2 linked regions of the Mus musculus genome follow. The protein of the gene in region 1 interacts with the protein of each later gene in a pairwise test. Links are inferred from orthologs where the notes say so. Each region holds a gene or a part of one and is shown in the gene's direction. Other genes may lie near its edges.

Region 1 (4,590 bases):
CGGTACTCACTAGACAGCAATAGAGAAGGGATGTGTTCTAGACTGGGAGTTTAGATGACAGTTACAAGTCATGTGATTTGAGATAAGATCACAAGACATTATAAAGGAATAAGCAAGACAAGGAAAACTCTGAATTTCAGGCCACCACTAAAATTTGTGACTATGAAGGTAAGCTGAAATTATTAACAAAATAGTACCCCAGTTAAGTAGTGAATGAATATATTGTCCTGAAAGCAGACAAGCAACAGTACTAAAGTCCTTTCTGAGCACTGCTACAAAATCTACAACCTCTTCTTTCCAGATTATTCTGGTAATGAGATCTCTGTGTTTCTAGATGTAGATTTTTTTAATAAAAAGTATGCTCAAATTACATCTATAGGCATTGTATGGTTTTTGCACAGATACTATAGGGAACTGTATCCATGTCTAGGACATACGGTATTATAGAAAAGAACATAAAGGAACATAGCAAAAGAACAAATTATAAAGAAAGAAGTCTGTATGAGACCAGAGCACACATCTAAGCTTTCTTCCTGGACACACTTAATTTCTTCCAGCAACAAGTCCCTAAACCATGTGAATAGTCTGCCAGAAGTTACTTGTAAGACTTAGATTGTAGTGTTAGATTATACCACTCCACTTTGCTTTATTTATTTATTTTTCTTCTTCTTCTTGTTAAAGGAGATTACGGGACCCACTGGTTGCTGTGTACTAAGATTCCTGGCACCCAGATTGCAAGCAGATTGAAATGTGTTCAGCGTAAAATACATTTATTCAAACACTTTAGACACAAGGGATGGCTCTTAATAAAGAACAGTGGAAGCATTGTTGAATTCTAGTTGCTCAGACACTAGTCAGGGACCAATGTGTAAGCAGTCTTTTCAAGGGTGAGTCCAAGCCGTGTTTGCTCCTTTGTGACTGAGTCACCTCACTCAGGATGATAATTCTCAAGTTCCATCCATTTAAACACATCCAAAGCAAAAAGAAAACTGAATTTAGGCGAGTGTAGGGTATGGTCAAATCTCTATCCTATAAAAGCCTTCTTGAAGCCTCGGTTTTTACTATCCAAGTTTGTCTTTTGCACCGGTGGGTGTGCCCTCTAAACTCGGATCTTCCTAAATGTTTGGGTAGAGCTTAGCTGGGGAACTGACTCATCCTAGCACTCTTTCGGCAAAGCGTAGGCACTCAATCCTGAATGAATGAATGAATGAACGTGTAGAAAGAAGGCGGAAAAGGGGTTCGTTTTTTCCGAGATGTGACAGACTAGCGCGTAGTCACGACAGCCACAAAGCAACAAGACCCAAACCTTTCTGGACAGATGCCCCACTTCCCCCAGGCTCTCGTAGCAAACCCAGCCCTGCAGACTACGCCCCGCCCACCCAGCAGCCAGACTTAGGAAAGACTGGCTGCCCGGAAAACCGGAAGTGCTGGTAATTCCCTGCGCATGCGTGTCCGCCTCGGCTCGCACTTCCTACACTCGGTCATCCAGTGAGGAAGCCGGGCCGCTCACCCGACGCAGCGGGGTCTTCGCCCGCCCCGCCCCTCACCCACTGCGCATGCGTCCTGACTGGCTTGTGCGCCTGGAGGCGGGGCGCCAGGGCAGTTTTTTTTTTTCTCCCCTTCGCTCCCGCCCCTGCGCTTCCCACCTGCCACGTACGGGACCGTGGCTGTCGCTAGGCTCGTCGGGTGCGTGCGATTGGCCAGCTCTGCGCAGCCTGCAGCTCGGCGAGGCTCGGCGGACGGCGGCGGAGCGGACGGGGTTTGGAAGCCTCCTCTGCGACACCGAGTGAGCCCGCAGCGGCCGGGTCAGCTGAGGTGGACGGCCTCGGCAAGCGGGGTATGTCCGCCGGAGTGAGGCGCGCGTGGCGACTCAAGGAGGAGGTCGGGGGAACCGGGAGGGCCGCAGGGCTTCTGGAACCTCCCAGCGCCGGGTGGGAGGGTGGGGCTGGGGACCGTGGGAAGGGGCTGGGAGGGAGGGCGCAGGGCCCGGGTGAGGCGGACGAGCGGCCCGGCATGGGGGAGGGGCGGCTGGGAGGGAGGGAGGGAGGGGGAGGAGAGGGCGCCCGGCCCGGCCTGACCTGGAGGGCGTTTGGCCCCGCTGATACCCCAAGTCCTGTTCCCTCCGGCCCCAGAGAGTAGAGGGGAGCCTGGGGGTACCTCTTACGGAGGTCGAGAACCAGGGATCGAAGAAGCCTGGGGCGTTTGCTCGGTGCTTCACCCTCTAGAGCAACTTGGAAGGTGGAGGGTGAATCATGGAAGACATAGAAAGGGGGCTTGAGAAAGCCCAAAGCGTTTGTGCCTGATCCCCGGGAGTGGCTTGGACGTTGGAGCGTAGACCTGGAGTTAATCGGTAGATTGAGGACACAGAAAGGAGCCCCATTCGGTCGTACACTCCCGTGCTTAGTGTCCTCTTGGGGCCCTACCCAGTTTTACTGATTACAGTTGCCAACTTTTGTTAAGTTGCCGTCTCTGGGCACGGTAGGGAGAATTGTAGATAGGTAATCTCAAAGATTCTACCAAAGTAGCTTGTTAGGCTCCCTTCGCATGTGCAGAAAGTACGCCGCAGAGAAGAACTTGAGCTCACATAGCTACCAGTGAAAATGGTTACATTCTTGCCATATACACTGCGTGTCATACAGATTTTGAGACCCACTTACAGTTTTAGAATAATCAAGGTTCTTTAAAGAAAGAAAAGAAAAGAGAGAAAGAAAAAATAGAGAAGAAAAAGGAGCCAGTTGGTGGTGGTGCACTCAGGAGTCAGAGGCAGGTGGATTTCTGAGTTCGGGGCCAGCCTGGTCTACAGAACAGCCAAGGCTACCCAGAGAAATCCTGTCTTGGGGAGGCGGGGACAAGAAAAGAAAGAAGGGAAAAAGAAACTTGTTTAGAGGGTGGGCGTTTTAGAAGCTTCTGAAAGAGGGCCTCTTCTCAGGTTAAGCAACAGGTGCCTGAGGCTGAGGTATCCTAGTGCAGGGGCTATGTCCTTGGACACATCAGTGTATCCCAGTTACCAGGAATTTCTTGGATGAAGGTTAAGTTCCAGGTTGAGTCACTTCTGGACTTAGGAAGTAGTAAGACAGCAACGAGATGCATCAGAAAATGCATAGTGATCTTAACAGTAGTTCTAGGAACTCATTCATGTTAATCTCTACCTGCTTAGAGAAAGGCAGGACCAGAGTTGACAGCTGTGTGGACGAGGTTTTCTCTTGGGACAGGAAATAACGGTGGTGCCTGACATTGCTACACAAATGGACAACTTTTAGCTAAGACTGCAGGGAGGAAACTAGAAATGAAACTGGGCCACCCATGGTAGATGTTAAGGATATGTAATGTTAGCTTTTAGGTCCACTGGAGCTGAGTGCTTCCCAGTTCCATCAGAGGGCATATTAATTACCAAGTACATTTGTGCTGGAACTTGGTCTTACTTGGGAGTGTATCTTGATATGAGGTGCCCCTTCTGGCCAGGTAAAGAAGGTACTGTGAGATGGTTCTATGGTTCAGGAACTGAGAGTGTTCAGCTTTCTAAGCACCGGTCCTTAGTCTATATTGCTGACTTATATGGCCTATAGATAGAAGGCAGTAAATGCAGATTTATTGTAAGATCTTCATTCCTGTCAGACTATCAATGAAAGTATGAGATAGTTACTATCTTTCTAAACTTAATATGTTTTAGAGCCTGGGGTAGAGTAGATGTTATGTAAATGTTTTCTAAAGGTGGAGAACAAATTGGGCCAACAATGTAAGAGTTGGTTCTATAGAGGTGTCACGTCATCACAGCCATTAGAAGTCACCTGTGAGACTGATCAAACAAAACCCAACAGTGCTCTTTACATTAAGATAACTGTGGCATCCAGATTGTGGAACATTGTTCCACTTTGTTCTTCTGCTTTGACCTTGTAGTGAAGGGCTGTTTTCATTTGAGGGATAGTTAGACGCAAAGACTAGATAGAGCGTTTATGTGAGGACTACTGGGAGGTTTATATTTAATATTCATGATATAAGCTAGGACTCATGAAAAACAATTCAAGATGAATAGTTTGGTGATTTGGTGAGGGATTTTCCACATTAAAGGGGCGGGGGTGAAAATGGAGGTTCAGTAAGTTTTAGGGAAGGAGACAGAAAGCTGGCAATAGTGAAAGTTCAGGAATGAAAGCAGAGTAGCCTGTGGGAGGTTCAGGACAGCTTAAATGGTGCTCTTGGTCATTTACTTGGAACAGGTAAAAAGAGTAGGAACATTCTGTGTCTATAGATAAGCATGTTAAGGAATTACTTGGCCTTGCAGAAAAACAAATATTAACCCATTACTTGATCCTAAATATGCACTTTTATAGTAGTAATTTGAATTACTAAAAGTCTTAAGGTTCAGAATTAGGATTATAAATTCATAGGACAATCATATTGAATAACCTGAAATGAGATAATAATAAGAAAAACCCATGAGGGGAAAATTCTGTAGCAAGCCAGTATCAAATAGCTACTTTTACCATTTAAAAAAATACATTTTTTTAACGTGGTACCAAGTATTTATGGAACCCAAAGCCTTATGCATACTAAGCAAGCACTGTACCACAGATCAATGTCCTTTTTTAGAGT
Region 2 (4,429 bases), on another chromosome or scaffold:
CAGAAGTCTGGGAAGGAAAAAAAAAAATGAAAAAAATTTTTTTGTTTTGTTTGTTTTCGAGACAGGGTTTCTCTGTGTATCCCTGGCTGTCCTGGAACTCACTTTGTAGACCAAGCTGGCCTCAAACTCAGAAATCTGTCTGCCTCTGCCTCTCAAGTGCTGGGATTAAAGGTGTGCGCCACCACGACCGGCTGAAAATCTGTATGTAGATTTAGATTTTGCTTTCTGGTATGTCAGTTTTGAGTCTCCCAGAAACAGAGGCCAGTCTCAAAAACCCAACACCTCTCATCTTACAGCAGTGGCTTATCAACCTTCCTAATACTGTGACTCTTTAATACCATTCCTCATGTTGTGGTAACCCCCAACCAGAAAATTAGTTCATGGCTACTTCATAACTGTATTTTTGCTACTGTTATAAATAATGTAAATATCTGATATTCGACCCCTATGAAAGAGTCGACGCCCAAAGGGTTCATAAACCACAGGTTGAGGCCACTATTCTTAATTTAAAACTTAAAGGGAATCAGAGATAGCTTATTCTGGACCCATTTTTGAATGATGATGGCACCAAAACACAAATTTAGGTTACCTCAAATTCCATGTCCCAACATGGAACCAGTATCACGAGGTTTTTAGTTTTACAGAACAGAGAACGCTATAAATCAAGGCAAAGTTTAAAACACACTGGTGGATGGATACATTGGAGGGTACATCAAGATAGAGGAAGCTTTTCTATACATCTAAGACATTATCCGATGACATTCTTAGCTTTTGGATTGGCAGAGGCTAGTTGCCTGTTAATAGACCTAAAAGGTTTTTAATCTTATTGCCACAAGATATTAGTTTTGACACAGAGGTGGCTATTCTGGAGGGCTAGCACTAGCCCAAGATAAGGTAATTAGCCCCTGGACCTGCAACATTCCAATCTTTCCACAGTACTGAAATTCCAACTTATACAACTCAGTCTCTGCAGACATATGCTTTTAAAAGTTTTCATTCGCAAGACCTTTAGAAAGACTTCCCTTTTCCCTCATCTCTTTACCCTCGATTTTAACAGGACTACTGACAGCCAGCTTGGAGCCTGTCTACAAAAACCTCTAAACACAGAGAATCCAAACTCCGCTTTCAGTCCCTGGGTTGCGGTGAGCATCACCGGCCAGGGGGTTTCCTTTGGGTCTTTTGGACTCAGGAAGCAGGGAAACCTTCCCGCGCTCCACCCAGAGGGAAACAGCCCAGGCTCCCGGAGCCACGCGGCCCTGCCTGCAGTTTCGTGGGCGGCCGGCTGGAGGCGCAGTGCAAGCTGGGCGGGGCGGGCGGAAATAACGGGCGGCCAGGTCGGCCTCCCCGCTTCCTTTTCCGGTGCCAGGAGGAGCCGTGTCGCTGTCGTCTCGGTCCATCAGGCCTTCAGCGGGTCTCCATTGCCCGTCTCTCTGGACTCACCGCCGCCACTGTGCCGCGCCTAGGACTCGGATCCTGCCGGGTGAGTCCGCTTGGGCGCCTGCGGCGGGGCGCGAGGCTGGCGGGAGACGATGCGAAGACGCGGGGTCCCGGGGGGCCTGGCGGCTCTAGAGCTTTCGATGGGGAGGGTCCCCCGGGAACCAGGCGACCGAGGGATCTAATGTCGCGCCCGTCGGGTTCCGGGGCGCCCACGTCATGCCAGGCTTGGGCGGGGGCGGGCGGGGGGTGAGGGGTTAGGCGGGAGCGGGCGACCCTCCCCCACATCCGCCTGCGTGACCGGCTGGGGGCTGGTTCGCTCCGGTTGATCCCGGATTCCCTTTGTTCCCTTAACCCTAAAGGGCAGCTTGTTTGTCCCCCACACCCCCCCCCCGTCCCCTTGCCCCTCCACCGGTATCCCAGCCACTAATTTCTAATAAAAACGACAGTGGAGGAGACCCGAATCCTTACAGCAAGGTCTGGCGCCTGATAATTCTGTGTGACAAGCTTCTCGCTGATCGTAATTACCCATTCTTTAAATGACTACGGGGGACAGAAGGTGCCATGGGCTGAGTGAGTGACGTTCTCCTTTGAGCTAGCTAGAACGCTTGAACCATTTTTTTTCCTCCCTGCCATGAAAACTGAAAGTAATGTTTTCACGAATCCTAAAGTTGAAGTATCTAAACCAGACCCCACCGTAGATGTGTAACAGCCTACTACAGAAACACACACGTGTTGCCCCCTCCCCCATGTGCGAAAGGCCTGTTTGGAGGCCAAACCCTCAGAAGCTGGAGTCGCCCTCGGAAGTCTTTGTTAGTGGCGCTCCTTGGGTGGGGAGGAGGGCAGTTTTTAGTCGTGGAGTATTGGAGCCACTCTCTAGAACACTTCCCTTCAAAAACTTTTTCCTGCAGCTGCCGAGGTTGGAATGTTCTTTTTGATTACAGAAGGAATCGGTGTCATCTTCATTCTCCCTACAGAGGTTGAGCGTTGGGCTCAGGAACCTTAGGAATTCAGCAATCTTGAGATTCTGTGACTGTTAACTATAGAGGAGCCCTAGACTCGGGGACTGTTAATTAGTAATATTTGCACAGGGTGAGCCTGTAGATAAGTGCTAGCCCGGCTTGCTACAAGGTCCTAAATTCAAGTCCCAAAACTTTAGGGAAGGAAAGAAAAAAATTCAGCAGTTGTAACTATTCAGACTATAGCGGGGAGTGGGTGGAAAATGAAATGGATAAATAATGTCGGGTCAGCTTTTGCCACCAAATAAGTTTGTGCAGTACTTAGGAAATTGCTTTTTTTTTTTTAGTTGCTCTCTGCTTTGAAAATAGACAAAGGTTTGTGGCCATATTGTATCGGTTGTAAAAGCTAACATTTGTTGAGTTTTTTGCTCAGTGCCAGGCAGTGACTTAAGAGATTTATTTACAGATTAGTATAATAAGCCTCAGCAAATCTCTGGAAAATACCCATTTACTGCCATGTATGGGACTCAGAGAACTGGATTTGACCATAGGCCAGGCAGGCAGTCTACTCTGGTGGCTTTTTTGTTCTGTGTTTAAGTGAGAAGGAGAAGATGGGGCTGCAGTGTGGAGAGAGATGGCTCAGGTTGAACACATGCACTATTCTCGCAGGGGACTGGAGTTCTGTCCCAGCATTCACAGCCACGTATAACTCCAGGACATTAAGCACTTCTAGCCTTCTGGGGAACCTCCATGGAAGTGAACAACCCCGTGTATAGTTTTTAAAATGTTAAGAATGGCAGGAAGAGAGAATTGGACATTTGTTGCTATTTTCCAGTTTTAGTCACTGGGTCAGATGAAGTCCTGTTTAGTTCCTGTATAGCATGACAGCCCATTCTAACTTCATGAAGAAACTGAGGTTGACTCAGTCAAGTAAGCTGTAAAGCTATTTAGCACTCTTGTCCAAAACCCTCTGCTAAAACGTCTTACTGCTTTCTGGTATTCCAGCCAATTTGAACTGCATCTGCTTTCCCCCAGACTGGTCTTCCTCTGGTTTTATACAAACTGTTCTTACCCCGGAGCCTGTCTTTAACCTAATACTCTAGCTTTTATTCCAGACTGCAGAGATACCACTTCTCAGGAATGTCTATGCCATGCCACTAATTACTCTAAAGCTTGGGTTCCAATTAATAGGAATACATTATAAGAGCTCCTACTATGATGTTCAAAACATTCCAAGCTTTTTTACTTACCCAGTTATAAAATGGAATATAATCTGATAAATTACCCAGTACTGATCCAGAATCTGCTTTCAATATAATATATACTAATGTAATGCCCAAAATTAACCTGTAAGCCTCACCCTTCCAAGAACCAGGTAACTTCCAGAATGCTAAGAGTTGTAGTTCTTGGAAAACAATAAAATCTTGTGGGAAAGTATGGGGGCCAGTGAGTTTTGTCCAGAAAAGCCCCTCCAACATGTGTTTCCAGGCCACCCAGCTGGAGGTGCCAGTTAGTGGTCCTGGCCAAAGTCCATCTCTTGGTCAGTATTTAATATCTAATAAAGCTTCCTTCAAATTTGGCCCAAAATGGTGGAATTGGTTTTTCTCTGGTAAATCTCAGAATTAACACTGTCACACTCACCCATACAAAAATCATAGAAGTCCTGATTTTCCTTGATTTCTCTGAATTTATTTATCCATATGGTCTCACTGCCTGTGTCTTTAGATTCTTGAACTTCAGCTGGTGGTGGGGTATCGAGGAGGCACGGCTTTTACAAGATTGTTAAGAGCCTTGCTTTTGTCCAGAAGGTTTAATGTTCGTGTTTAAATATGGGGTCTTATATTATTTGGTCTCCAGTCAAAGTTTGGTGGCCTTTCCCTCTAACGCACTGCTTGCCAGTTGTCATAATAACTCAATGGACGTTTCCCCTCCTTACACTCGGAATGAGGATGATTTCCGTAAAGACCATGAAATCTGCTGACAGGTATTTTTCTCTTCTAGTGACTAGTTTTTAAATAGTAACGGAAAGTTGTTTA

The links.
Region 2: the proteins of Tfg (region 1) and Mapk1ip1l interact in binary tests that used the Homo sapiens proteins (3 or more experiments, as listed by UniProt). The two-hybrid records come from large-scale screens. The link is inferred for Mus musculus from reciprocal best matches to the Homo sapiens genes TFG and MAPK1IP1L.

The regions. Positions count from the first base shown.
Region 1 is NC_000082.6:56,714,432-56,719,021, reverse strand, and holds the start of Tfg (protein TFG), read left to right. Parts: upstream 1-1,571; 5' UTR 1,572-1,837; intron 1,838-4,590. UniProt on the Homo sapiens protein: Plays a role in the normal dynamic function of the endoplasmic reticulum (ER) and its associated microtubules. Required for secretory cargo traffic from the endoplasmic reticulum to the Golgi apparatus.
Region 2 is NC_000080.6:47,296,926-47,301,354, forward strand, and holds the start of Mapk1ip1l (MAPK-interacting and spindle-stabilizing protein-like), read left to right. Parts: upstream 1-1,463; 5' UTR 1,464-1,480; intron 1,481-1,850; exon of another isoform or gene 1,851-2,007; intron 2,008-4,429. Other genes in the region: uncharacterized protein Gm35078, read left to right, coding at 1,058-1,463.